2 linked regions of the Sus scrofa genome follow. The protein of the gene in region 1 interacts with the protein of each later gene in a biochemical or structural test. Links are inferred from orthologs where the notes say so. Each region holds a gene or a part of one and is shown in the gene's direction. Other genes may lie near its edges. The genes, in order: ARHGEF16 and TAX1BP3.

Evidence for each region.
Region 2: the proteins of ARHGEF16 (region 1) and TAX1BP3 form a complex in vitro, tested with the Homo sapiens proteins (2 studies listed by BioGRID and IntAct, with this or other methods). The link is inferred for Sus scrofa from reciprocal best matches to the Homo sapiens genes ARHGEF16 and TAX1BP3.

The regions. Positions count from the first base shown.
Region 1 is NC_010448.4:65,019,436-65,034,211, forward strand, and holds the start of ARHGEF16 (rho guanine nucleotide exchange factor 16), read left to right. Parts: upstream 1-7,515; 5' UTR 7,516-8,523; coding exon 8,524-8,604; intron 8,605-14,776. UniProt on the Homo sapiens protein: Guanyl-nucleotide exchange factor of the RHOG GTPase stimulating the exchange of RHOG-associated GDP for GTP. May play a role in chemotactic cell migration by mediating the activation of RAC1 by EPHA2.
Region 2 is NC_010454.4:49,750,814-49,765,589, reverse strand, and holds TAX1BP3 (tax1-binding protein 3), read left to right. Parts: upstream 1-6,563; 5' UTR 6,564-6,678; coding exon 6,679-6,717; intron 6,718-9,564; coding exon 9,565-9,684; intron 9,685-10,073; coding exon 10,074-10,151; intron 10,152-10,444; coding exon 10,445-10,582; 3' UTR 10,583-11,428; downstream 11,429-14,776. Other genes in the region: EMC6 (ER membrane protein complex subunit 6), read right to left, coding at 5,711-6,043; CTNS (cystinosin), read right to left, coding at 13,298-13,334, 13,699-13,813, 14,076-14,193. UniProt on the Homo sapiens protein: May regulate a number of protein-protein interactions by competing for PDZ domain binding sites. Binds CTNNB1 and may thereby act as an inhibitor of the Wnt signaling pathway. Competes with LIN7A for KCNJ4 binding, and thereby promotes KCNJ4 internalization.

The DNA.
Region 1 (14,776 bases):
TGGGCAGTAGGGGCCCAGGCTGGGCTGGGGGTGGCGGCCAAGGGCATGAACAAGCCACTTGAGTGACCGAGCTTACACAACTGTACATTTGTTTTAAGAAAAACATCTAACTGGATACTTTTTTTTTTTAATGGCTGCACCTGCAGCACATGGACGTTCCCAGGCCTGGAACCTGCAGCTGCTGACCTACACCATGGATTATTAACCCACTGAGCGAGGACAGGGATGGAACCCACATCCTCAAGGACAGTATGATGTCAGGTTCTTAACCTGCTGAGCCACAGCGGGAACTCCTAATTTAAAGGGGCAGTCTTACTACATGCACATTATAGCTCAAGTCCCTTGATTTAAAATAATAATAATTACAAGGGTCCATCCCAAAGCGCAAAGTCTCGGAGGCCTCGAACCACCTTTAAACGTATCCCAGCCAGACTGGGAAGGCTGGTCCCCACCCCCACCGTACCCAGCCCCTGGGCCATCAGCCTGCCCTTGGAGAAGCCCTCCCCCGGCTCGGCAGCTCCCAGTGCACCTCACTTCCAACATCTGGGGTGGACCCACCCTCCAAGGCTTAGCCCCCCAAGCCCTGCCAGAGCCCATCCAGCCCAGCCTGTGCGCCTGGTCCCCCTGCCTGGTACCATTCACAGAGCTTTAAACATTCAAGGAGCAGCGTTGTAGACTGTTTGTATACGTACATAGGAAAAGAGCAACAACATGCTTGAGACGGATAAAGACCAAGTTCACAGACATGGTTTCCTCTGGGAAGGAAGGTGGGGGTGATGGGGGAGGGCCTGGGGGAGGGGCTTCCGTCTTACCTCCAATGATTTATAGACCCTGGAGGCTTGTTTAACTGCCATTCAGGACATCTACAGGCAACGAAAGAGAAGCCGTTCTACTTCTTCCTTTACAAAATATATGTCTTTTATTGCTTTTTCTTGCCTTATTGCACTGGCCGGGGGCAGCATTAAATAGAAGCGGTGAAAGTGGACATCTTTGCTTCATTCCAGAGCTCAAGGGGGAAGTCTGTTTTGACCATCAGGTACGATGTCAGGTGAAAATCACCATGAGATAAAGATACTCTTTGCCAGCATCCTTCCTCCTATGCTTGTATCGCTGAGATTTTTATTAAGTATGTGATTGGGTTTTATCTTCAACATATCAGTATTTATCTTCAAGTGATATTACGCCCCTTTATGTGAAATACACAAACTTCACCACGGTATATTTCTGTGCTCCCCTCTCTTTTTTTTTTTTTTTTTGCTATTTATTATATTTTACTTCTGCACATGTGGAAAAATCCACAAAGCACCAACATTATTTCTGCTTTAAACCGTCCTTAAAAAGAACCTATTTAAAACACATAGGAAAAAAAAAAAGGTCTGTCATATCTATCACATATTTACACTTTCCAATGGGCTTCTATTCCTTGTGTAGACATGAATTTACATCTCCTATCATTTTCCTTTGGCCCCAAAAATCTCCTTTGACATTTCTGGTAGTGCAGCTCTGTTGCTGATGAATTCTCCCAGATTTGTCTTAAAATGTCTTGAAACATGCTTTTGCTAGAAGTGGACATCTTACCTGACAGCTTTGTTCCTTTCATCAATTTAAAGAATCTTGCCGGTGCTCTCAGCTTGCAGGGTTTCTGATGATGAATCAGCAGTTATTCCTGTCTTCATTCTCAAGATTTTCTACCCCTCGTTTTCAGCCATTTGCTGTGTGTCCTAATGTGTTTTTCTTTGTATTCATGCTGCGTTTAGTTCATTGAAGATCTTGGATCTGTGGGCTTGCGTTTTTGATCCCATTAGGGACATTAATGGCCATTATTTTTTTTAAACAAATGTTCTCCCCCTCACACATCTGGGCTTCTGATTATGCATGTGGTTAGACTTCTATTCTCTTTCAGATAGGCAAGGCTCTGTTCATTTTTCCCAGGTTTTTCTCTCTCTGTGCTTCTGTCTGGATAATTCATGTTGTCCTGTCTTCAAGTTCACTGAGCTTTCCTTCCATAGCATCTAATCTGTTGTTCATCACACCCAGTACATTTAAAATTTTTCATATCTTGTATATTTTTTCTTCAGAACTTTCATTTGATTCAGCATTACGCTTTCTCTTTTGATCATATTCATTATACATTATACCTCCTCTTTTGATTATGTTCATGGCTCCTTGTATATCCTTAGAATAGTGGTAATAACTGTTTTAAATGCCTTATCTGCTAATTCTGTCATCTATGTCATTCCTGGATCTCTTTCTATTGGCTGCCTTTTCTCCTGGTTATAGGTCCCAAGGTCCTGCTTCCTCACATGCCTCATAATGTTTAATTGGGAGCCAGAGGCTGTAAATGCTACATTGTTGAGAACTTAGGTTTTGCTGGCCTTCTTTTAAGAATCCTGAGTTTCATCCTGACAGGTAGTTAACTGACTTAGAGGTCAGCCTGGTCTTTTCAAGGCTTATTTCAAAGCTCTGTCAGGTCAGGTGCAGAACAGCCTTCACCCTGGGTGTAGCTTACCTTACACCTAATACCTGGCTTTCTCTGATCTCCATCCAGTGCCTTGAGGTCCATAAGGCCTCTTCATCCTGGTGGTTGGCTTCCAAGTGTCTCCTGACCCATGTGGAGGCTGGGAGCTCTCCTTCGCTGGCTTCCTGGGATCTCACTCTGCACACACACAGCATAGCTTTCGAGCAGACACAGGCTGCCCCACAATGGTTTAGGGAGGTCCTTCTCTGCATCACAGCCTCCTCTCCAGGGATCTGTGCACACCTCCCAGTCCCCTCAGCCTCCCTGAACCCCAACTCTGTCCCCTCAGTTCAGTGAGGCCACTGTGTTCTGCCTCATTCTGCCTCCTAGAAGAAACCTGAGCAGGTGTGGGGCTCACCTCATGGGCTCCTTTTCCCAGGAACCATAATTTTCTGCTCTCTGCTCTCCAGAGTCTAAAACCATTGCTTCCTGTAGTTTTTTGTCCAATTATCTACTGATTATGGTGGGAGCTGCAACATCACCACCAAAATGTCTGCAATGTTTTTTGTTTGTTTTTGTTTGTGTCTTTTTAGGACAACATGTGTGGCATATGGAGGTTCCCAGGCTAGTGGTCTAATCGGAGCTGTAGCCACTGGCCACAGCCACAGCAACACCAGATCCAAGCCACATCTGTGACCTACACCACAGCTCATGGCAATGTGGGATCCTTAACCCACTGATCAAGGCCAGGGATCAAACCCGTGTCCTCATGGATACTAGTCAGATGCATTGCTGCTGAGCCACGGCAGGAACTCCTAATGTTTTAAATTCTCAACTGAAACCAGATACATGCATTTTAAAAAATTATTTACTTCTCTGGAAGTCTGAAACAGTATCTAACTATTAGAGGGGGCCTGGGGCTTGGAGTCAGGCAGACCTTGGCTCCCATCTTGGCCCAGCCACTCACTAGCCAGTGACAAAGCACACACACCTCCCCCCTCAACTACATGGGGGTGAGGACATCGCCACCAGGGAGTTGCTGTAAAAATTTAGTCAGGTGCCGCATGGGGCCTGGCACACAGTAGGTGCTTAATAGGAGGTGACAACAATTTGCTCTTGAGAGGACAAGGAGGAGTGACCCTGGGCTCCTGCTCAGCAAGGCCACCCCCATCGGCCGGAGAGGCAGTCAGGCCCCCCTCGGCACCCCGTCCCCCACGCCACCCCCACACCCATCTGCAAACCCCACCCACCCTGGGCCTCCAGTCTCCCAGCACAGAGGAGCCTCTGTGCTCAGGCCCACTCACAGCCACCAGCCACCGCATCATTTGAGGTCAACGAGACCTTTCCAGCTGCCCGCAGGCTGGACCGGGCACCCGTGGGCCCTGCAGTGAGTGATAGGTCAGCCGGATGCCAGAGCCAGAGAAGAAAGGAGCCTTGTGCCCCTTCCCCCACCCCCACGTTGCTTGCAGCCCAAGGAGGGGAGGGTGGGCAGCGGGCACGGCCCATGTGGCCCTGCTAGCCTTGCTCATCCTTGGCCCCAGGAACCTGGGATGGTAAGATCAAAAGGCCTCCTGGGGGCTGCTGGCCTCAGGACACTGCCTCTCCAGGCTGCAGCTCCAGCAGCTGAGCAAAAGTTGGCAAGACTCAGAGTGAGACCTCCGGGATGCCCGGGAGCCTCAAGAATGAGACTTCTACCGATAAGCCCAGACTTCTTTGTAGGAAATCCCAAGTGCCATGGGGTCACTGAAGTTGTCGGGACCCCATGGGGGCCAGTCCTCATTTCAGGAGTTCCTGGCAGGCAGTAGAGGCTGACCCTACCCTTGTGGGGGCGGGGAGCCGCCGAGTGCAGGCTCCACCCACAGGCCCCGGTGCCAGGAACTAAGGCCACTTCCAGCCCGGCCCAGGCCCCAGCCCACAGTGGGGCAGTGGGGTCCCCGCCAAGGTTCTCATGGGGCAGAGGCAAGGAGAAGACCCAGGCCACTCTCGCAAGGCCTCCGCCCTTATTTCCCCCCCAGCCCTTGGAAGCCGGACAAGCAGGATGAACGCTGCCTGGCTGCACAGGTCAAGGGCAGCCTCCTCCAGGCCCGCCAGACGGTGCTCCCCCAGACCACGCGAGAGGGGCCCCGGCCTATAGGCGAGGGCGTGCTGGCCGCCTGGCACCTGCAGTCTGTCGCCCTCATCATGGGGCATGGAGAGAGAACTGCAGACACAAGCAGGCAAAGCAGGAGGCTCGGAGAGGCAGGGGAGCCCTAAAGAAAGACTGCGGGAGGGGGAACGACTCCCGGGGCCGCAGCAACAAACGACCACACAGTGGGGTTGAACACAACGGAGCACAGCTTCTCCCGGCCCTGAGCCAGACGCAAGGCCAAGGTGCTCCCGCTGAAGGCTCCAGGGCAGATCCTTTGTGCCTCTCTGGCATCTGGGGGCTGCTGGCACTCCTCGCTCACAGACACGTCCCTCCAGCCTCTGTCTCGATCCACCTCGGACCTCCTCCCTTCTGTCTGTACCCAGATGGCCCTCTTTTTGTAAGGGCACCTGCCAGTGGATTTAGGGCCTGGCCTAATCTGGTAGGATCTTGTCGTAATTACTTCTGGAAGGACCCAGCTCCAAGTAAGGGCGCATCCCAGCAGCATCCGGCTCCCTGCGAGGGGACCCAGCCGCCAGGAGGCCCGTGGCAGGGCAGGAGGGGCCCAGGCACCGTCCAGGGGGCAGTGTGTTCTGTACTGACCTGGCCCACATGCCCTCTGTCCAAGACACAAGGGTGCGAGTCCTGCAGGCTTACTGCACTGGCAGCTGAGAGCAAGGAGGGTGGTGACAGCAGCCCTGGTCCTTCTGTCCATGCTGGTCCCTTATAATTCACTCAAGCTGTGTCCTTCCAGCCAACAGCCCTGATCACAGGTCATCATCAAACCTCCATTTTAGAGCTGAGACAACATAGACCCAGACAGGTCAAGCCACTTGCTCCGGGTCACCCGTCCCCAATCACAGGCTGAGCCTGCCGAGCCAAGGACATGGCCCTTCGAAGCCCCAGCTTGGAGGTAGAACCAGCCCCCATGGGCTGGAGGGGCCAGAATAGGCAGGCGCTGGATGGCCAGGGCAAGTGGGGATTAACCCTGCAGTGGAAGTCACTGAGTGGGAGTCAGAACCCCCAGGGCCTGGGTCTCCCCTGCGGCTCCCTCTTGCAGTCTGAGCCCTGTGGGTGTAGTACCAACAATGACCTCTGGAGGGCAGCAGGTGCCCAGCTTTCCCCCAGAGCTGCCCTGAAGCGGTCCATCCACCCCGGGGGGCCACAGGGCCCAGGCTTCTGCCCACCAAGGTCACCCACCCCCCACACACAGAAGGGATGGATGGCCCTGGTGGGCACCTTTCTGTGGCCAGCCTGGGCCCTGCCCAGGTGGCTCTTGCGCACTGGTGGGCTTTATCCCACTTCCGGCAGCCAGGCCCCCGCCTCAGGGCAGACCCTGGGGGGTGGGGGCAGCAATGGGGGCGGGACTGGGAAGGCCGAAGGCATGCCTGGCAGGGTTGCCCTTCCAGCACGACATCTAAGGAAAACGCCAGGCCAGCCTGCAGCAGCCCCTTGCCCTGTACAGACAGCAAGTTCCCAAGGCCACAGCCCTGGGGGGGCGGGCCCCAGGAGAGGGCGGGCCCACGCCCCAGGCTAGACGGTGTCCTGCCAGCTGGCATGTCCCCACACGCTGCCTACTGCACCACCGCCTGGGGTCAGCGAAGGGACAGTGCTGGGCTGGAAGCCCAAATGCACCGCCCAGCAAGGGGTGCACACGGAATCACACCGCTGGCATAACTGGCACGAGCCATCCCTGAAAGGGGGACCTGAAGGCAGGTGGGAAACAGGCTGGCACCTCCAGGGCTGTGCCCTGGGATCTCGGGCCGCACCTGAGTCACCAGGCCCTCGCCAAACACCTGCTGTATTCAGGGCCCTGGGATGGCCATATAAGAGCTGTAGCGGGAAGCAGCTGTATTAGCAGAGGTATGGCATCCAGAAGAAAGGTGAGGGGTTGAAATAGGAGGGGTTTCGGTCCACTTTGAAGCACCTGGGGGAATAAGCCAGGATGACGAATGATCTGGATTCCGGGTCATCAGTAAGGACAGGTGATAAGAAGTGGATAACAGGGCCAATCTAATCATGGGTCTTGGGAGGTAGTGAGCTCCCCATCCTGGAGGTATCCAAGCAGAGGCAGGATGTCAGCTGCCTTGGTCTGGGTTGGGGGTCAAGGTATCTGTTTTGGCCCCTCCCCCAACACCCTCTTCCACTGCCAGAGGGCTCCTTCCACCAGATCTGATCACGTTGAATCTTTGCTTGAACCCTGAGTGGCTGTGGTTTTGTCTGTCTCCCGCTGCGGTGAGCTCGCTGAGGGCAGAGACCACGTCGCAGAGCTCGGGGCTGCATCTCCGACGCCTACACAGTCGTCAGCCCACAGCAGTGGCTCGGTAAACCCCCAAGAGTAAAGGAGGCAGGAAAGCAGCAGGAGGCGGCAGCAGCGCCCAGACTAGAATTCAGGGCTGCAGTGGGGAGAGCTGGGGAGCCAGGCAGAACCGCCCCCCTGGGGACGGCCGGCCCCACGGTGGGAGGTTGTGGTGGGCGCCCGCCAAGGGCTGTTCCGGAGTGGCGAGTGGCGCAGCCTCCAGTGAGGGCCTCGGAGGCCAAGCCCACTCAGCCGTGGGTCACATGGGTGCTGACCAGCCAGGTGGGGACAGTGACGCAGCCAGCACGGCCAGGTACCTGGGGCACGCCCAGCCGTTCCCTCCGCCCAGCCCGGGCCCTGCCCACCTGGCCGCCCACCTGGTGGGGCGGGACCGAGCCATCACCTCCCGCAGGGCCGCACAGGAAGTGGGAGGGCGGGGACAAGGAGGGACCAAGTGCCGGGATAGAGGCCAGGCCCGGAACGGCGCCCGGCCAGGGCGCGGAGCTTGGAGGCTGGAGCGGCCCCACATCGCCGCTGTGCTTGTTGCTCCTTCCTCCACCCCAGCGCGCAGGTAAGCCTGGGGGACAGGTGAGGGGGGAACAAGTGAGGCTGGGGGACAGGCGAGGGGGAACAGGTAAGCCTGGGAAGGGACGGGTGAGCCTTGGGGAAGGGGCTGGCCACCCCAAGGGCACATTTCCTCCCCTCACTTTTCCTGCTGGCCCCGCGCCGGGGGCCACGACAGTTTCCAGCTCCCTCCCTCCCTCCGCAGCGGCTGGACCTGGAGCCCCTGACCCCACCCCCTTCTGTCCTCTGAGCCCTGGGGGAAAGGGGCGCTTCCAGCCCCCAGGGGAGCTCTGCAGCTGGAGCTCCCACTGAGGCTTCTGCACTGTGAGACCTTCCAAAGCCCCAAAAAGGCAGTGGGGGGTGAGGTGGGGTCCCCGGCGGGGGGGTCCCCTAGAAACAACCTCCCAGCAGCTGAAGAATCTGCTGCCAAACTGCTTGGACCCCAAGAAAGTGGAGCCTTCTCCCCACCTGCGAGAGCCGGCCCTCCCCACCCTGGAGGGCGGACCCAGCAGCGGGAGGTCCCAGGCTGCCTCCTGCGAAGGAGGGAGGGGAGGGGGGTTAGGCTCCCGAAGGGCAGGGCTGGACGGACGCCTGCCTTAGCTGCCCAACCTCTGCTTCTGCACCTGGGAAGCAAGGGTCCCTTTAGAGCTGGGAGTGGACCTCAACCCAACATCGGCCGGGCTGCCAGGAGGGAGTCTACAGGGAACTCTGCATCCAACAGCCCTCTGTCCTGGGGGTGAGGGGGCTGCACCTCCTGGCGTCGGGATTTGGGGACACTGGCCAACGAGGCCAGGCTACGCAGGGCCTGCTGGGGAGAGCACGAGCACCCCAACCCTGTCTACCCAGCATCCCGAGGTCAGGACCCCAGGTCCAAATCCCCACTCCTTGTGACCTAGACTGAGGCTTCTAGGCCTCAGTTTCCAGCTCTGTGAAGTGGGGGTGCTTAGAGGGTGCTGATTCAGCTGCAGCCCTGCCGATGCCCGCGGGCTGCGGAGGAGAGTCTGTGAGGGGCAGGCAGTGGGCACCGCCCGCAGAGCCCCCACACCCACCCCGCCTGGACACCTGCAGGGAGGAGCTATGGGGGGGTCCTTGTTCCTCAAGGGCTCTGGTCCCCAGGGGGCGTCTCTGAGCCCACACAGGAGGAAACTGGGTGCAGAGGTAAGTGGCGCGAAGCAGCTTGACAGGCCCTGAGATGCCAGGCTGCGTGTCACGGGCACAGCCCCTCCCTTCGTCTGGGTCCCGGAAATTTAGTTTCGGTTTCTGAATGGATCTCACCGCTTTGCCTCCTCTGCCCACGCCAGTGACCGCGCGCGCTTAGGGACCCGCCGCAGCAGCAGCACCTTTTTTCCTGAGAGTCACCCCCGGCCCCTGGCCCGATGGGGCAGTGATCTGGGTCAGGCCGGGGGCCTGGCTCCCTGCCCGGCTCTCTGCTGACCTGCAGCCTGACCCAGCAGGTCACATTCCCCCCACACCTGGTTTCCTCACCCGGCAGAGGGGGAGAATACCCCCCCAGAAGCTCGGCCGGGACAGAAAACAGGGGGGCAGGGAGGCGTTTGGAGGCTCCCCATGGGTCAGCTGATTTCTGACCGAGTCGGGGCTCTGATTGCTCATCTGGGGCTTCTTTGGGGAAACACCATGGGTGCCAGCCTGGTACTGCAGCTGGGTTGGGGCATCTGGACTCAGAGACAGGAGTGGGAGCTGGGGGTGGGCCTATCTGGGGGGCACTGGGGGCCGAGCCGGGAAGGTGGCCTCTGTGATGACAGCCCTGCCTGGGTGCCAAGAGACTTCTGCTCGGGGTGGGAGGGGCCCAGGGCAGGCCACCGTCCCTCCCCTCTGCCAGGCTGTGTCCGGGGCTGAGGGCGGCCAGGTGGGTTTTCTGGCCTTGACGTGGCGGGTGAGTCCAGGTAGCCAAGCTGAGGTTTCCCCACCTGAGCCCTGCAGACGTTTGATCTATGACCCCCTGCGGGCATCCTGGGCGCTGCTGTAAGTTCTGAGCAGCCTCCCAGGGCTCTGCCCACAAGAGGCAGCACAGCTGCGACCACCAAGAATGTCCCCAGGCACTGCTGAGCATCCCCGGGGACCAAGCCACTCCGGTTGAGAGCCCCCCGCTGCCCCCGGCCACCTTGCAGGTGAAACTGTTTGCTGTGCACTTCACAAAGCCAAATCCTGCCCCAAATTCCATGTGACTCCGTGTTTCGAACTTTTGACCCGACAGAATTATCCAAGCACAGGGCACCATGGCGGGTCAGATCTGCCTTGGCAAAGGTGGGGTCGTGGGCTCAGTGCCGGAGGCCAAGCCCCATGGGCAGGGTCGCGTCAGCCGGACCTAGAGACAGACGCCCCAAGGATGGAGGTGCTGTGGTTACCTCACCCGAGTGGCGGCAGGTCCCATACTCAGGGCACTTAGGGTCCTGGTGGCTGTGAGAGCCACAGGCTCAGGCCGGGAGAATCGTGCTTCTTCGGAGGGGGGCCGGCGGCACTGAGCCTACTGGGGTCCCTGGAAGCCCATCTGAGGCTCTGGGCTGCTGTGCTGCCGGGCTGCCAGGGGCCCTTGGAGCCAGGCCATCCTGAAACCAGCACTGGGCCAGGTGCAGCTTAGGACCAGACAGGCCGAGTTGGTCACCAGAGGCTGCCAGAGACCTCCCTGCCTCCACCTGCTGACCCCCAGGCCACTGCTCCTCCCCCCGGAGTCCCACGTGCCCCTTCCCTGGCCTGCACGTGTGCCCACAACGCCAGGACAGGCTGCTTAGTGGCAAAGGAAAGAGCTCGTGCCGGGCTTCCCCCACTCAACCCAAGGGGCCCTCCCCAGCCCACCCTGAGCAGAGGCAGCTGGACGCTCCCAGAAGGTGGTGGACACTGGTCTGGAGCCCCTGAGGCTCTGCCCTGGAGGATTCTGCTCGCTTGGAGCCGAGTACCGTGTGGGTTAGAGGCACGGAATGCCAGGGCCTCTTCAGGAAACCGCTCCAGAAGTGGAGAGCCGGTGCCCATGACAGCAGCCTTCCCTGTGGGAACTGAGCCCCACTGCTTGTGGGGACATGAGCAGGAAGCTGCCCAGCTCCTGAAGGACACACAGACTCAGAGAGACACGGACAGACTGCTGCTATGGGCGTCTGGGGAGGTTTGCAGGTGAGGGGGGGAGAGCAGACTTGCCTCTGTGGCTCAAGTGCTCCCTGCATGGGGTCTGGCCTCTCTCGGCGACATCGATGCCCAGAGAGCACAGCCAGCACTGAATCTGTGCCCTCGGACCTCCCCTGCCCTGCCTGCAGGACACCAGGCATAGGCCAGCGTCCAGCGAGGACACTGAAAGGGACACGTCTGAGCCCCTCTGCTGGAGGAGAAGCCACCAGACACAGACTGGTGGGGAGTCCCAAAAAGCCTGCCAGGCAGAAGCGTGTGCTCACGTGTGTGTGCTCAGAGGGCACACCAGCCTCCTGCCAGCACACACCTGTCTCCTAAACCGAAGGCTATAGCTGGCCGGCACCACCAGGCGTTTGAGGAAAGCCTGGGGCCCGGGATGGAGCTGAGAAGAAGGAGGAAAATCGTGTGCAGAGGAGCTGGGCCAGGAACAGAAAGAAACCCGTTCAAGAGAAAATGGAATCAGAACCCCTGACACTGAACAGGGATGTGGCATCCACGGCATCCATGAAATAAGAACAGGCTGCTGCGAATAAAGACTAGGAGAGTGCTCCTTGTAAGATGGTGCAAAGAGCTATAACGTCAGTGGAAAGGAAGACAACTCCCACCGCGGACAGGAGGGAGGAGAGACAACAGCAAGGATGTGTGGGTCGGCTCAGCGGTTTCAGTGCTCGGTAACAGCTCTTCCAGAAATAGGCCAGAGCAAACAGAGGTGAGAGAAATTCTCAGAGAAATAGCCACGGAGGAGTTCCCATCATGGTGCAGCGGAAATGAATCCGACTAGGAACCAGGAGGTTGCGGGTTCGATCCCTGGCCTCGCTCGGTGGGGTAAGGATCCGGCATTGCCGTGAGCTGTGGTGCAGGTCGCAGACGCGGCTCGGATCCTGCGTGGCTGTGGCTGTGGTGTAGACCGGTGGCTACAGCTCCCATTCAACCCCTAGCCTGGGAACCTCCATATGCCATGGGTGCGGCCCTAAAAAGACAAAAACCAAAAACAAACAAACAAAAAAGAAACAGCAGTGGGAAACCTCCGAACCTAAAACAGGTTGGGAGAGGGCACGAGCTCGGGGAGTGGACACGGATCCGCCGCCGTCAGCCCGTCCCCGTGGGCGTCAGTGCCCGCGGGTCAATCGGGGCGCACCCACCCTCTGCGGGCCGAGCTGGGGTGAGCCAGTCGAGAGCCGAGGAGGCGAGTGGGGCCAGCGCCGATGTCTCACCAGCACTGAAAGCCAGGAGGCAAGAGAAGCGGGCTTCTCCATCCGGAAGAAAATCATTTCTGATGGGACTCTAAACGCAGCCCATCCCCGCAGAGAGAAAGGCAGAAAGAAGGCATTTTCAGAGAAAGACCCCCCTCCCTCTCGAAGCTGGGGGTGGGGAGAGGAGAGGACCAGGATGCAGGGAGGGGGACAGGGGGCCGAGCTCCAGCCCCCAAAGCAGGGAAGGGAGGGCCCGGGGAGAGAGGCCAGGGTCTCTGGGTAAACAGACTGATGCTTGACCCTCTAGAGCGTGCCATCCTGATGCCCAGAGCAGGGGTGCTGGGACACACGGGGGAGAAGGAGTAACAGGAGGAAAGGCAGCCGGTAAATAAGAGGGAATTATTAACAAGAGGGAGGCAGCCGGGCTGCGCTAACGCAAACACCCACGGGCCATGGCTGTGCCGGCCAGGCCTTGTCCACGGGGCCAGAGAGGCAGGCCTGCGGCCGGGACATGGCCAAGTGGCGGGCTGGGCCTTGTTTGGAAATGGAGGGAAGGCCGCGGAGTGGGGCAGGGAGGCATGGAGAGGACGCCTGTCTTTGATGATAAGGCTCTAGGCGGTATTTGACCTTTGAACCTATGCCCTGGTAGGTAGCTCAGGGATAAACCAAAGCCTTGGAGGAAGAAGCCAGTGGCCCTGAGATGCCTTAACTCCAGGAGCCCGGGGCCTGGAGCTCTGGCAGAGCGGGGCAGCTGCCCACGCCCCTGGCACGGTGCCCCTCTCCTCCAGGCCTGGTCCTGGCTGGTGGCGCCCGAGGCCTGAGGGTGTGGCTGTCGTGCTTGGAACGGAGCTCACGCCCGGCCACGGCTGGCTGGACAGGATCCGTCTGGCACGTTCTGGCTCCTGAGCAGACTTTGCCCTCTCCTGGGAGTGGCCCTGCCACTGGCGGGGTCTGGGGCCCCAGAGGAGGTGGGGGAGGAAGACCAGCGTGGGGGCGGGGTGGGCGGGGGTCACGGGTGCCGCAGTCCCTGTGTGGGCCCCTCAGTGCCACCTGGACATTAGAACGCGGGAAATACCCTGCGGCTCAGAAAGAAGGACTCAGGGGCTGGACGTCTCCAGGATGCCCATCTGGGTCATCTTGCTTTGGCGTGCAAACAGGAGAACCTGCAATGAGCCCCTTTCTTGGCCAGGCCTGCATGACCTGCAGGTTAAGGCTGGGCGGGCGATGCGGGCTGGGGCAGACCCGCCCTCAGCTGCCGGCTCCCCAGGAGGCCCCAGGGTGGCTGCTGCTGTCCTCGTCCTCGGCCTGGTGACTCAGAATGTCCCCAGGAATGCGTGGGCCGTCCTCCCGTGTGGGGGTGGCCAGGGCTCCAGGCCAGCCCCGCCCTGCTGGCCTGGAGGCAGAGCCGCACACACCTTCCTGGGATGGTCTGAGCCGAGAACCCGTGAGCTGGGATGGCAGAGCGGGGCGGGCAGGCAGCCAGGCTTCCGGGTGCCCCTGCCCAGGTCGCTTCTACTGTGCCGGGATTTAGGCCGCCCCGTGCAGCCAACTCTGCCTGGGCTCCCGTCCGAGGGGTCCCTGGAGCTTGGAACCTCCCAGTGGGAGAGGAACCCAGAGGCAAGGCTGCGCGTGTGAGGTGGGCTCGGGCTGGGACCTGCGGGCAGGCTCTGGAACAAACGCTGGTCCCCTGGCAGTACCCACCCTCCCAGGCCTGGCCACCCCTGCTGCGTGCCCCCATGGAGGAGAGGGCGGTCACACCTCCTCCCCCAGAGCGGTGGCGAACTCTGAGCCGAGGCTCCCGTCCCCGCTAGGCCCCTGGTGACCTGGAGCCTCCGCTCTTCCACCTGAAAAATGGGCCTCCACCCTCACCCAGCCCTTAGGATTATAGCGTTCACAGGTTCTGCGTGGGTGAGGAGCGTCTGAACGCTGGGTCTCCTTGTTTCTACTCTAAGATGAGAGGAAAGTTCTGGGAGCGAGTTCTCTCCAGGTTACGACACTTTAATCCTGCAAAGTTCTCCCCTTGTCGCTGCTCCTCTGGAGGCTCCTAGATGGCCATCTATTCAGCACCGGCTTGGTCACCACGACACCGTGGCCCCTCGGCTGCCAGGCCCCCTTCATGCACTCTGCCTGTGAGCTCACCCCCCTGCAGGAGGTGGGGGATTATCACTGTGCCCATTTTACAGATTTTGAAACCAAGGCACAGAGAGCAGCAGGGGAAGCAATGGTGGTGACGGGAGAGCAGACCCTCAGCGTGGACTGGTCAGTGGCCAGAGGCTAGTGCCCACGAAGCCCAGGGTGTGACAGGTAGTGGTGACAGGCTGCCAGCCAGGATGCGCCAGCTTGTGCTGCAGCGATAAATAGCGACACCAGGTGCTTAGAGACCCTGGGTCCAGAGGGCTCGTCCCAGTCACTCGGGGCGTCCCAGGTGGGGGCTCCATCCCCACGCACTCCTGCAGCACCCCACAGGGAAAGGCATGGGGGGGCACATGCAGTGGCCTCTGAGGTTTCTGCCCCGGAGGGTCACACGTCCTTGCGCTCGGCCCTGCCTATGCAGGAAGGATGAAAGCGGGAAATGCTGGTGGACACACGCAGGACAGGCCGCATCACTTCACACGGGGCTGCCTGCTGCTGTGGGGGCTGCTAGGCCGGCCGGGGCTGGAGGGCGGGCGGTGGGTGAGACTGGAGAGGGTGGAGGGGTCCGGATGGGAGCAAGCTGCCGGGAGGTGCTGGCTGGCCCATCCGAGGGGCACAGAGGGATGGGCAGACCTCGGGGGGGGCGGTCACAGGCTGTAGAGATAGGCATGCAGCGGCAGCGTGCACTGGGCCTCGGGCTCAGGGTCAGAGCCGAGCTCTCCAAATGCCCCCCTCCCTCGCTGGTTACCCGCATAGGCAGTGACTGCTCTGCAAGACCTGAGACGACGGTTGACCGTTCGTAGGAAGTGTGGGGAAATGGGGACATGTCGTGGACACACAGGAAAGCAGTGTAGACAGCCGGCCAT
Region 2 (14,776 bases), on another chromosome or scaffold:
GAGAAATTAGGGAAACGATCCCATTTACCATCACATCAAAAAGAATAAAATACTTAAGAATAAACCTACCTAAAGAAACAAAAGACCCATACTCTGAAAACTGTAAGACACTGATGAAAGAAATCAAGATGACATAAACAGATGGAAAGACATACCATGCACTTGGATTGGAAGAATCAATATTATCAAAATGATTATACTACCTTAAGCAATCTACAGATTCAACATAACCCTTTCAAATTACCAAGGACATTTTTTACAGACTAGAACAAAATATTTTAAAGTTTGTTTGGAAGCACAAAAGACCCAGAATAGCCAGACATCCTGAGAAAGAAAAATGGAGCTGGAGGAATCAGGCTCTCTGACTTCAGACTATACCACAAAGCTACAGTCATCAAAACTATGTGGTGCTGGCACAAAGACAGAAATATAGATCAGTGGAACAGGATAGAAAGCCCAGAATTAAACCCATGCACCTACAGTCAACTAATCTATGACAAAGGAGGCAAGAATATACAATGGAGAAAGACAGCCTGTTCAATAAGTGGTGCTGGGAAAACTGGATAGCCACATGTAAAAGAATGAAATCAGAACACTTCCTAACAACATACACAAAAATAAACTCCAAATGGATTAAAGACCTAAATATAAGACCAGACACTATTAAATTCTTAAGAGGAAAACACAGGCCACTCTCCGACATAAACCACAGCAATATCTTCTCAGATCCACCTCCTAGAGTAATGACAATAAAAACAAAAATAAATAAATGGGACTTAAACTTAAAAGTTTCTGCACAGCAAAGGAAACCCTACAAAAAGACAACCCACGCAACGGGAGAAAATATTTGCAAATGAAGCGACTACCAAGGGATTAATTTCCAAAATTTATCAATATCTTCTGCAGTTCAATACCAAAAAAACAAACAACCCCATCAAAAAATGGGCAGAAGGGAGTTCCCATTGTGGCGCAGTGGAAACACATCCGACTAGGAACCATGAAGTTGTGGGTTCGATCCCTGGACTTGCTCAGTGGTGGCAACAGCTCTGATTAGACCCCTAGCCTGAGAACCTCCATATGCTGTGGGTGCACCCCTAAAAAGACACACACACACACAAAAAGGCAGAAGATCTAAACACACAATTCCCTGAGGAAGACATACAGACGGCCAAAAAAACACATGAAAAGATGTTCCACATCACTAATTATTAGATAAATGCAAATCAAAACCACTATGAGGTACCACCTTACGCTGGCCAGAATGGCCATCATCAAAAAGTCTGCCAACAATAAATGCTGGAGAGGGTGTGGAGAAAAGGGAACTCTATTACACCGTTGGTGGGAATGTAAACTGGTGCAACCACTGTGGAAAAACAGTGTGGAGATTCCTCAGGAAACTAAAAATAGAATTACCATTTGATCCAGCAATCCTACTCCTGGGCATCTATCCAGAGAAAACCATGACTTGAAAAGATACATGTACTCCAATGTTCACTGCAGCACTCTATACAATAGCCAAGACATGGAAACAACCTAAATGTCCATGGACAGAGGAGTGGATAAGATATGGTACACATAAACAATGCATATATACAGCTTTTTTTAGGGCTGCACCCACAGCATATGGAAGTTTCCAAGCTAGGGGTCAAATCAGAGCTACAGCTGCCAGCCTACACCACAGCCACAGCAATGAGGGATCCGAGCTGGGTTTGTGACCCACACCACAGCTCACAGCAACGCAGGATCCTTAACCCACCGAGCAAGGCCAGGGATCAAACCCGAAACCTCATGGATCCTAGTGGGGTTCATTAACCACTGAGCCATGAAGGGAACTCCCACACAATGGAGTATTACTCAGCCATTAAAAGGAAAGAAATAACAGCATTTGCAGCAACATGGATGGACCTAGAAATTATCATGCTAAGTCAGTCAGACAGTGAGACATCAACATCAAATGCTATCACTTACATGTGGAATCTTAAAAAAAAGGACACAATGAACTTCTCTGCAGAACAGATACTGAGTCACAGACTTTGAAAAACTTACGGTTTACAAAGGAGACAGGTTGAAGGTGGGGGGATGCGCTGGGGGTTTGGGATGGAAAGACTATACAATTTGGTTGTGATCGTTGTACAACCATAAATGTAATAAAATTCATTGAGTAATTGAAAAAAAAAGAAACTAAATTAAAAAAAGGAAAAAGATACATGCACCCCTATGTTCAGTGCAGCACTATTCACAATAGCCAAGACACGGAAACAACCTAAAAGTCCATCCACAGATGAGTGGATTAAGAAGACGTGGTACATATATACAATGGACTACTACTCAGCCCTAAAGGAGAACAACAACAACAAAAAATGCCATTTGCAGCAACATGGATGGATCTAGAGACTCTCATACTAAATGAAGTAAATCAGAAGGAGAAAGACAAATACCCCATGACATGGCTTATATCTGGAATCCAATAGAGGGCACAAATGAACATTATCTACAGAAAAGAAACTTATGGACATAGAGAACAGACTTGTGGTTGCCAAGAGGAAAGGGTAGAGTGTGGAAGGGACAGGGAGTTTGGGGTCAGTAGATGTAAACTATTGCATTTGGAATGGATAAGCCATAAGATTCTGCTGGATAGCACAGGGAACTATGATCACTTGTGACTGAACATGATAGACAATAACGTGAGAAAAAGAATGCATATATATATGCAAAACCGGGTCAGTTTGCTGTGCAAGAGAATTAACAGTACATTATAAATCACCTATAAAACAATTCAACAAACAAAACTTTCAAAGGTTTGCTATTAGTATCAAAGCCAAACCATAAGTGAGCAAGACCCTATGAGGCCTTCTCAGGAGGCAATGTCTTCCACCTGCCTCTGTCTGTAGAAAACCTGTGCCTCCTAGCCCTTCCCTGAGTTCTCAAGAATAAATTTAATGAGAAAAGTGAGAAAATACAGAAAGGAAAACAATCAAGCAAAACAAAATAATAATAATAATGACAGCTGAGCCATTAAACAAAGTTAAGGAAAAAAAAAGAGTTCCTGTGGTGGCACGGTGGTTAGTGAATCCGACTAGGAATCATGAGGTTTCGGGTTCAATCCCTGGCCTCGCTAAGTGGTTTAAGGATCTGGTGTTACTGTGAGCTGTGGTGTAGGTTGCAGACACGGCTTGGATCCTGCATTGCTGTGGCTGTGGTGTAGGCTGACAGCTGTAGTTCTGACTGGACCCCTAGCCTGGGAACGTCCATATGCCGCGGGTGTGGCCTTGAAAAGACAAAAGACAAAAAACCCCCCCAAAACCCCAAACAAACAAAAAACCCAAAAAAACAAAAGTTAAGGACCTCTGGCTCCTCCTCAGGGGCTATGGATAACATTCTGAGCCATGTCTTTAAAGCTATTTTACAAATATGAAACCAGGTGGAAGAAATTAACTGTATGCTTGCCCACTAGTATGTAGATCCTAGGCCGGTTCCAATCTGAAGGCTGATGATGCTGACTCCTGGTTACCTCACCAGCAACCAATCACAACAATGTCTACAGCTGGTCATGAACCTGCAACCCTCACCCTGTCTTAAAAAAACCTTTCGCTGAAAGCAATCGGCCATTTGGGCCTTTTGAGCACTAGCTGCCTGGTCCCCTTGTTCACTGCCTGCAAAAACAAACAAAAAACTCTGCACTTTCGTGAACGGTGTTTGTAGAGTCTCTTTATTGCACAGGGTGAGTGGACTCAAGTTTCTTAACAAAACCCCCCACTGGGTCTATCCCAGGGCCTCTTAACTCTAAAGACACAGGCCAAAAGCTATCCTTCCCAATGGCCCTCACATATGTATTTTCTTGCAAGTAACTCCCTCCACACTTGACTGTTAATAAAGTGATCTCAATCGTAATGTTGTTTCTTTAAAGATGCTACCCCCCACCCCCCGGCCCAGCTAGGTCTGGGGCTTCTGTGTACGCTCTTCATAGCACTTACCATAATTTGAATATTTGTGAAAACAAGTATTACTAGTCTTCCCAGTTAAGACTATACATTCCACAAGCAAATGCTCATTACTTAACTCTACTACCATATTTTATTTCTCAATTAAATGTATGCACTTTATTCTAAAATAATCCTCCTGACAAGAAGGGATCATGGATTAACATAGAGACAGAGGCATTTACACTCTAGACAAGCCCAAAGTTTAGCTTAACCATTGTCTGTTTAATCTTCACTAGACACAGTCTAGAAGAAAGAGCTTGAATTTATTTCTCTTTTTTTCTTTTTGGCCACACTCATGGCACGTTGAAGTTCCAGGGCCAGGGATCGAAACCGCACAATAGCAGCCACCTGAGTAGTGATAACGTCAGATCCTTAACTGGCTGCACCACAAAAGAACTTGAATTTACCTCTTTTTTTCCTTTTTTTTTTTTTTTTTTTTTTTCTTTTTAGGGCCACACCTGCAGTATATGGAAGCTCCCAGGCTAGGGGTCAAATCAGAGCTGCAGCTGCCAGCCTACGCCATAGCTACAGTAATGCCAGATCCCAGCCGCACCTGAGATCTACATCACAGCTCATGGCAACGCCAGATTCTTTAACCGAGTGAGGCCAGGGATCGGAACCTGAGTCCTCATGGACACTAGCTGGGTTTGTTACTGCTGAGCTACAATGAGAACTCCCTGAACTTACTTATTTTTTAAATGGAAACAACAGCTAGCTCTGACTTGGTGAAATGGAACTGAAACGACACCACTCACAACTGAAAGGTGTGGTTAGTGGGAGGGAAGACTGGGCTCTGAAAAGATATACTCAAATAATTCAGTACGGGCAATTAAAAGACCTACACTGAAATCCTGGCTCTGCCTTTTCCTAGCTATGCCTCCTATGGTAGAGGTATTTAACTTCTCTGAGCCTCAGATTCATCAGTGGGGGCTAAGAATCAATCTACTGCATAAGAATACTGCTAGAATGAGATTGAGTGTAGGAGTTCCCATTGTGGCTCAGCGGTAACAAACCCAACTAGTATCTACCAGGATGCCTGTTCAATCCCTGGCCTCGCTCAGTGGGTTAAGGATCCAGGCACTGCCATGAGCTGTGGTGCAGGTCAGAGATGCGGATCAGATCCCAAGTTGCTGTGGCTGTGAGGTAGGTCGGCAGCTGCAGCTCTGATTCGACCCCTAGCCTGGCAACTTCCATATGCCACAGGTGCGGCCCTAATAAAAGCAAAAAAAAAAAAAAGAAAAAGAAATGAGTGTGAAAGGTGCGCAGTACAATGCCTGGTATATAGAGCACACTTAATAAGTATTGACTGTTATTAGTTCTCGGGATGTTAATAAGTTCTCTTATTTAGGCCTTAGTGACCCCTCTGCGAATAGCCCATGTGTCAATGCAAGGAAATGAAAGAAAGCTAAGGCGCAGTCAGAGAGCTCTCCCAGAGTCAAAACCCGGCGATTCTGCACCCACAGCGGCGGGAGGGGGGGGGGGACGGGGGGACGGGGACGCGGAGCGCGGCGCTTTAAGGTAGGAAAAAAACTCCACAAAGGGTCTCACGCTTCATTTAATCTGAAGAACAGTACAGGCTCTTCGTCTTCAGATATAAATTATTCATAACGTTACAGAACAAGCAGCGAATCCAACAATTTAAAAACTAGGTAAGTCTACACGCTGTTAATTTCCGGCAACCGTCCTCCCAATCTGCTTTTCAAAAAGAAGTCATCCCTGCCCTCCTTTCAGTAGACGTGCACCATGCCGTAGAGGAATGTCCAGAACAGGACGTAGGTGAAGAGGCCTCCAATGAGACCTCCTGTAAAGAGAGGTCTTCGCGACTTAAAATATTTGTTCCACCTCCTTCCCGCCTTGAGAATTAAGAGCAAAGAGAGCAGGATGGAGGCGAGCAGGTAGAAGATGAAACCGTACAGGCCGGTGAGGCCGAGGATGCCGGCCGTGGCCCCCGACAGCGCCGACACCGAGGTCCGGCAGTAATCCAGGACGGCGGCGTTGCCCCGCACAGCGGCCTCACTGATGAACGGCGGCCCTTCCCGCTTGACCACCACAGCGGCCATCGCACCCACCCGGACTCGGCCTCTGCTTTCTCCCGAAGCAACGCGGGGCTGCGGAGAGAACCACGTTACAAGTAGCGCCCAGAGCCTGGCGAGTTGGGTTCACGCCGCCCCTTTCCCTAGGGCTGCCAAGACTTCGCACCACCTCCCCGCCCCCAGCGTCTCGGACCTTCGAAAAACGCTGAGAAAGCTGAGGGTTCGGGACGGCTGGCCGCATAGCTGCATTTCCCGCCTAGACTCGGCCACTTACCTGGAACGCGGCGGCGGAGGTAGTCACTCGACGTTCCCTCAGACAGCCTAGAGCAGGGACTCCCGCGACGCCATCTTGCGCAGAGGATGCTGGGAAGGCCCAGGCTGCGCACGCGCCAAGGCCTCGCTCCCCGCCCCCCCTCCGCCTCTGGCGCACGCACTGAGGACGCCTCAAGCACGCACCACCCACTTCCCCGCTTTTCTACGCACGCACGGGAACTTCCGAGAGCCGGACAGCGCTCCGGCAGGTGATTCGCTGGAGTCTTGTTAACTATTCATAAGGGGGCGGGCTGGGCCGTGCAGCCTTTGTTAACCAGAGAGGGCGCGGCCACCGGGATTCTCGCTGCAGGCTTCGGGGAGCGGCGCTTGGCTTCCAGATTGGGGTCGAGATGTCCTACATTCCGGGCCAGCCGGTCACCGCCGTGGTGGTGAGTGCGCTCGCTCGGGCTCTTCCTAGTTTTGGCTTGCCCCCACTTTGCAGATAGGTAAATTGATACACCAAACAGGTTGACAAAGCGTCGAACCCGGGACTCCTGCAAACCCGCAGCCAGAGCTCCGGTTCCCGCTCTGCGGGACAGGAGCCGTGGTCTTCCCCAGCCAGGCAAGAGGTGGCTGGGACCCACGAGCTTCCTGAAGACCCGGGATCAAGGCCAGATCCTGCTCGCCGCCGCCGCCGCTCTGGACTCTTCTTACTGAGGGAAAAGGCCCCGGCTGTGGGAGTCTAGGAAGCGTCCCCTTCCCAGGCCTGTGTCCCCAGCTGGGTAGCCGCGGGGGGCGGGCGCCGGATCCAAAGTCCATGAGTCGCAGCCTCTGGAATGAGGAAGTGCTTCCTCCGCTCCAGCCGGCGCCGCCGCCCAAGACTTGCGGGTGGAGGTAGCCGGAGCCTGAGTAACAGTCCTACAACCCCTCCCATCTAGCCTTGCCTTCTCGGACGCACAGTCAGTCGGTCCAGAGTGAAGGCTCATACAACTGACTTGATCCCGCTCCGAACTTTCCCTGGATCCCCAAACAACTCTTGGGGCAAAGCCCAGGTCACCCTCCTGGCACTTGGGGCCTGAGGAGACCCTTCGGGGTCGGCTCAGGCCCCTGGTTGCCCTCTTGGTTCATCTTGGGTGCCAAGTGCTATGAGAATAGGCAGAGAAGTTGGGACATTAGACTCAGACGCCAATGTCACAGCTGGATGGGGCCTGGAGACCCATTCCATGGCTGAGGTGGGGAAATTGAGTCCCAGAGAGATGTCTGGCCATGCCCAGCCATGTAAAGAAGGCTTCAAGAAGGACCCAGATCTCTGAGCAGAAATGCCTGCTGGGCAAGGAATGGGTCAGATGGAAGTCGTAGCCCTAAGGGCCCTGCCACTGGCTGCAGTATCCAGATGGGCGTGTTGGGGACTCCAGCAGCCAGGTGGTGTGACCAGGGAGCCACTGATAAAGCTGCCATGTGAGGGTGAGCTTAGCACACCAGCTCAGGCCTGGACTGCTGACAGCTGTCCTCAGCTTCACCCTGGCTGCACCGGCTTGGCTTTTCCAGCCTTCTAGCTGCCCCAGAGAGAAGGGGTCAGGTTTGCTCTTTAGCTAGAAAAAAGGGAGTGCAGGTGGGGAACCAAAGAGGCAGGAGCCTCCCTGACCTCACCCAGGAGGTCAGTGATGGGGCCTTGTCTCCCAGTCCAGACCTTGGAGATGGGTCAGAGGTGTCCCCAGAGGTGGAGCAGGCCTGGAGGAGCTCACACTCTTACACACGAGGACCTAGGTCCTGCAGGCCTCAGGTGTCATGCTTCCTGCTCCCCTTTCTCACATGTCTCTCCTGGCCCCTGGGCCTTCCTCTAAGTTTTAGGACCATGACCCCCTGGTTCTTCTCTAGGAACATGTTTGAATATGGTGGGTGGGGCCTGGCTTCTCCCTCCTGTGTCCTGGATCCGGGATGGGGTGGAAGAGGCTCCTCCCTACCCCAGGCCCTCTCCCACATACTTAACGCTGTGACAGTGTTAAAACCATTTGGCCTCTTCGCTGAACTCTGGGTCCATAGGTTCGTCCACCTTCTGGACACCTACCTGGACAGCTCTTGGTTCTCCAGCTCAACATGCTCCTTCTCTGGGATCCACATCTGGGAGATGGTTGTGTTCAGCCAGGCGGGGCCAGATGGCTGGCTGGGTGCTCCCCTTGCCGCCTCTGCATGATGGGCCATCCGGAGATGTCCCACCTCTGTGAGACATCTGTTGCCTTACTGCCTGGGTGGTCGTTTCAGCATCAAACCTGACCATGATCTACCGTCAGCCCTACTCCCCAACTCCTGGGAGCTCCAGTGGGTCCAAAATCAAGGTCAGGTGGCCAAACTCCTGGTCAGCCCAAGGCCTGGTACAAACGGCCCCTCCTTCATGAAGCCCCTCAGATCCAGATCAGGTCACATGCAGTTGCCTTTTACTTTGTTTTTTCCTTCTTCCTGTTAAAACTCTCAACTTTGGGGGGTGTGGGGTGGTCATCTGGTCTGGAAGGTGCCTGCTGAGGGCTTTGAAAGGAGCCTGGCACCGTTGGGGTCCACAATCTCACCGTGTGGTGAGGGTGCCCTGGGCCCTGCATCCACCTCCTACACTGCACAATAGCAGGGCCCCGGGGCTTAGGGAGATGTCCTGTCCCTTAGGCTGGTCTCCTGGCCCTGCACTCACCAGTCTAATGCATCTCGCCTCAGCCTTACCTCGCCTCCCGGTTCTGGTCCTGTGCCATACACTCCCGTCTCAAGGAAATGTAGCCACAGCACCTTCGAGCCTCTGCTCCTGTTCTCTTGGCCAGGACAGCTCTTCCTCCCTTCTGTGCAAGTCTGATCCCCGCTGTTCTAAAGCATCTCCTGTCTCACCCTCAACAGGGCTGGCTTAGCAATCTGAGCTGGCCTCAGCAAGGTGCCTACATGTTTTGTTCAGAGCTTGACCCCTCTTGCCCCTGTGTTCCCTCCCCTGGGACAAAGACCCCATCCGGAACAGCCACAGCATCCTGGCTCAAGAGCCAGGAGGGGCTTAGTCTGTGTTAAGAAGGCTGGTACCTGTGACGTAGGAAGCTGGGAGAGGTTAGGGAGAAGGGTTGTGTGGGTGGGTTGGTGTGGCTGAGTTCTGAGCCTTAACCCCCCAGCCTCCCAGGCTGGTGAATAGCTGGCTTCCTGCAGGAGATCCTGGGCCCCACCTCTGTGGCATGGCTCCGAGCCTACCCAGCTGCCTGAGGCTGCTGCTGGAGACACAGGCCACATTCTCTACACCCACTCGCCCCCAACTCGTTTTTTATCTTTGCTAGCAAAGAGTTGAAATTCATAAGCTGCGTCAAGGTGAGAACTTAATCCTGGGCTTCAGCATTGGAGGTGGAATTGACCAGGATCCCTCTCAGAATCCTTTCTCAGAAGATAAGACAGACAAGGTGAGGGGGTCTGGGGACCTCTCCGTGGGGCACAGAGGCCTGAGATGGTGGGTCTCTGCTTCCTGGGCCTTTGTGGAAGGAGCTGACCTCATCTCTCGCAAGCAGTCCTCTTTAAAAAGGTCCAAGACATGATCTGGTGGGAGTGAGGAGGGGTGGGGTGGGGAGAGGGCCTGCCAGCCCTCCCAGTACTAGGAAGCCTGCTCAGACAGAGGCTGGAGCGTCTGTGGGGCTGCCCCGCTGCCCCCTTGGCTGTCTTGGCACAGCCTGTGCTGGGGGGTGCTGGCTGTGGACACATGGACAGCTAAGAGTATGCCATGCTGGGCTTTGCTCTATGGATAAGAGGCCGGTCCTGTGACCCCAGTGCTTGACTTGGGGGGCCTATTTTTCAGGGCATTTATGTCACGCGGGTATCTGAAGGAGGCCCAGCGGAAATTGCCGGGCTGCAGATCGGGGACAAGATCATGCAGGTAACAGACATCCCAAAGGAGGAAAACAAGGCTTGGGCCAGAGGGTTTAAAGCACGTGGGGTGCGTTTGGGGGTGTGGGGCTGCCCCTGCCTGCCTCCCCGGGCACCTGGGAGACTCACCAAAGCCGCTCCGGAGCCTATGCTGGCATAGCCCTCTTTCCTGTGTGTGGTGGCGCTTGGTGTCCCCAGATCTGGGGCGTCAGCTTGGGTGACTCAGTTCCCCCCACAGCCCGTCCTGCTTGCAGATCCCAGAGGGCGGCGAGCTGAGGGGGCTGCATTCTCTCCCTGGGCCAGGTGAACGGCTGGGACATGACCATGGTCACGCACGACCAGGCCCGGAAGCGGCTCACCAAGCGCTCGGAGGAGGTGGTGCGGCTGCTGGTGACGCGGCAGTCGCTGCAGAAGGCGGTGCAGCAGTCCATGCTGTCCTAGCAGCTGCCAAGGTCCCTGCCGCACGCCTGCCCGCCTCTGTGCAGTGACACCACCTCCACGCTCTGTCTGTCCCTTGTCCTGGCTTCTGATGGCTGGGCCCCGACTCGGAGCGGCAAGAGCTGGTCCCAGGGGCCTGACCCAGCCTTCCTTCTCTCCCACCACGGGCCCGAGCTCTTTCCCTTGGACACAGGATTAGCAACGAGGGCCTGGAGCCCAGTTTGAATCAGTCTATGATGACCACAGACTCAGCCCCCAAACCCTGCTGCTTGGCCACAACCGTGCCCAGGCGAGGAGCCCTCCCACCCCCCACTACTTGAGGGCACCACACCGCTGGGAAACTCAGGGGCATGGTCCTGCCCCTGCCCCGTGTCTCAGCCCTACAGTGCCTGTGCCCCGTGCCCTGTGCCCCACACCCCCTGCCACGTTCCCCAGTGAGGACCGACTCACACTGCCAGAGACACTACCAAGGTTTGCCCGGACAGAAGCCAGGCAGGCTCACTGCTCACCCATCGCACCCCAACCAAGGGGCGCTGGCCTCCCTGGGGTTCACCTGCTTACAGGATTTAGATGAGGTTCGAGGCTGACATTTCAGGGCAGTTCTCAGGATTGCCATTTTCCTCTATGCCCGTGGGTTTAACTTTTGTATTTTTTTAGTCACAACTTTGATACAAAGCGTTTTTATCTTACTCTTTGGAGATGCCAGTTCAACTTTTGAATTTAGCTTACTAATTCATATCTGGGAACTACATTTAATAAGGGAACCAGCCTTACTTCGGTTACTGTGGAAATGGGGCAGCAAGAAGCTGCCCCCCATATTGTGCCCAATAAACAGTACTGGATTCACCAGGGGTCTTTGCTGAGACTTGGGGTAGGCTTATTCGGGGGTGAACTGTGACAGCTTTGGCTGTAAGGCTGGCTGACCTGGCCTCCACCGCTCTGAACAAAGCCCACCTACTCCCCAGCCTGCGGATGCTACGCTTGGCCAGGGCCACCCCCGTGGGAAAGTCTGGGAGTCCCTTCCCCGGGACTGGGCTCCCCAACTTCCCTTGTGTAGCCTAGCTTCAGCCTCCATGGCCGGGCTCGGGGGGAATCACGGTCACCAAGGTGATGGGAAAACACCCACCTCCTAAGACTCTGAAGAGCACTCAGTTTACCACAGTGAAGGGTACGGTCCTAAATGTTCCCAGAGACTGGAGCTGACAAGATGGGGGTACGCTGGGGAGCACGGGGGCCTCTGCCTGGCCCAGCATTGGCTGCTTTACCGCCTGGCGGTTGTGACTACTCAGGGACCCACCTAGCACCGCCACGTCAGATTTGTGCACATCTCCCATCTATAAAGTGTGGTACCTGGTCACACACTGGGCAGCCCCAATGAAACAGGTGTGTGGGCTTGGTCAGGCTGCAGTCTCTGCTTCAGGCAAACGGGATCCTCAATTCTTTGGTACTTATTACACCCGGATCAAGGCAGAAACTGGAAGACACCTTTCCCTGCCAGCCGCATGCCCTTCAAGACCTCAGCCAACCTGTGCTCACAACCACAGCCTGACTGCTGAGCCCCGGGTACTACAGATGGGGTACCTGTGGGACCTACCTGGCCCTGCGCAGGTAGGTGTCTTGTGCCACCCAACAGGGCTCCCCTGATGAAGTGCTGGGTCGGCATGCCACCGTCTCTGGATCCGCGAACTTGGCGACCTCATGCATTTCCTGACAGGGAGTGACCGAGGCCGTCTCCCTAAGTGCCACGGACTTGGTTCTGAAGTCAACATACCTGCCTCCTGCATCTGGCACATGCTCAGTGTGCAGAGGAAATAAATCAGGTTTAATTAATTAAGGACAGATGTCCCTCATGCTGATATCGTGGTAAACAAATCTGAGAGCAGACTGACAAGCTCGACGCGTGTACAAGGCACATCCTGGGCCCCTCCCCTCCCCCACTGCCACAGGAAGGACAACTACTTGGGTTGGGAAAGGAGAGGCTTTAGGATCAGGCTGGGCCCACGAAGATTGTATGGGGTGGTCTCAAGTCCTTATCTGAGGCTCCTAAACAGCCATAAATTGGGGAGTCTCAGGTGAGGGAGAGGGGCCTGCCCTTCCCCTCAAGGGAGCTACTCACCACCCGGCAGGTCTGCAGGCCTCTAAGGCACAGACTGGTGTGTGTGTGTCCTGCATCCCACACTCAGGGTAAGGAGCAGGTCAGGGGCTCACATGGGGCCCGACCAGGAGAAAGTGGAGGTAGCAGAAGGCAGAAGAAGCTAAGCCATCACTTCCATTCCATCCCTCTGGAAAGTCCAACGGGGGTTGTTCGTGTGATAAGGATCCAGAGTGTTGGATGGGAGTCTGGTTCCGAACAGATCTGTTGGGCACCTCAAGGCTTGAAAACACTGTTTCTTTACCCGAGCCTGGCCTGGCACGCCTGTGATCACATGTCGTGGAAGTGGAGTTACATGGAACGAGTGTCAGGACAGTGAGTGCTCAGAGAATGCAGCCTTCGGGGGTGGGGGTGGGGGTGGGGCTCCCAAAGCCTAACCCCAAAGTCCTAGCCCCTCTGCCACCAGCACCAGCACCACTGGGTCTATTGGCCACAGCACCTGGCTGCTTGGTCTCTGGACACAGCAGCGGCAGCACAGTGCCCTTGGCTCTCCCAGCTGCAAGGTCAGTCCTTCAAGTTGCTCCCAGAAACACTGGTTGCTTGGGGCAAGGCCTTCTGGTCCAAGCTCAGTGCTCAATCCTGCCTGGGATGGCTGCCTGAAGCCTTAAAGAAAATAGAGATGCAGCATCAAGATGCAGGAGGGCCGGATGCCTGGCCGGTAAGGCCCAGGAGGGGCTGAGACCTCTGGGGAGGCTGGGAGGGACGACCCATGGTCTGGCCATTCATCTCCACACTCAGGTGCCAGTCCCACCGGGAGGTTCCTCCCTGGCCCAGCAAAGTTCTGGCCCCAGGCAGGCTGGTTCGAGGTTAAGGCACTTGGCCCTGAGGAAGAGGATGCTTCTCCACATGGAGCCAGCCCTGCACTTGAGACAGCTCTTCCAGCCTTCCTGGTGGAGCCTTTCCCACCAGGGCCCTGGGCGGGGGCTGCTTCCTCTGGGTTCCTGGGAGCTAGTTCAGCTGCTCATACCCTGGTTTTTTCCTGTACAAGCAGAAGTGCTGGATGAAGAAGACAATGTCGAAGATGATGGAGAAGATGCCAAGTCCAAACTTGGTTGGGTCTCCAAAGATCAGGGTCCACTGGTCTGTAATAGCCAGAGGGGATGGGATTGGTTTCAGTTTTAGGCTGGCAGCTCCTGATGTAGCTGGAGTCCGTGGGGCTGGAGGCGGGGGGGGGGGGGGGGGGGGGTCGGGGGGGGGGTGGTGAGGGCCCCTCCCCGTCCAGGAAACCACACATCCTCCAGCTACCAGAGCCCCCAGGATTGGCTGGGGAATTCCCCCCCGGGGAGGGCGTGGCCTCCAGGAAGCCCCGCCCAGCCTGTGCGTCCAGCCCACCCACCGACTCACCGTTGTTGTAGGACTGGAGGAACATCTGGAGGAGGCTGAAGCTGCCTCCGGTGAAGTCCAGTAGCACGTTGCCAATGCTCCAGCCTTCGGTGCTTTTGTAGTGAAAGTTCATGTAGGCCTGGGCCAGACAGACAGACAGACAGACCGGAGGCGGTGAGGGGGCTGGGTGGTGGCCTCCAGCCCCTTGTGACCGCCGCTCCAAACAAAAGTGGCTCTCATTCCTCCTCCTCATGTGCCTGGACCTCGACGCTGAGAAACACAATGACCTTTGGGCTCTGACAAGCCTTGGCTGAGGGCGCGGTGTGGGCGGGTCCTGGGGGGGGTCTCATCTGGGTGCTCGGCAACCAGAGCCCCCCTCCCCCCAGCCCTGCACCTCCCAACTCCGGCAGAGGGAGGGGAGATGCTGCCTCTCCGGCTTCTTCCTCCCTATCCTGGCTTTCCAGTTACTCTCATTTTATTTCTCGCTTTCAAATGGAGATTCTTCCCAAACTCAGCCGGGACTTCGTGCTGCGCTTACAAACACGGGCCCGGAGTCTGACTGCCTGGTTTGGAATCATAATTCCACCATCACACCTACGTTACCTGGGAGAGTTATGTGCGTTCTCCCGGCTTCAGGCTCCCTATCTTAACGCCCTCCTTAGTCCTGATTGGGCTCTGGAGCCTCCGCCTCGGGCTCCCCAGGTTCATCCACTTGGATATCA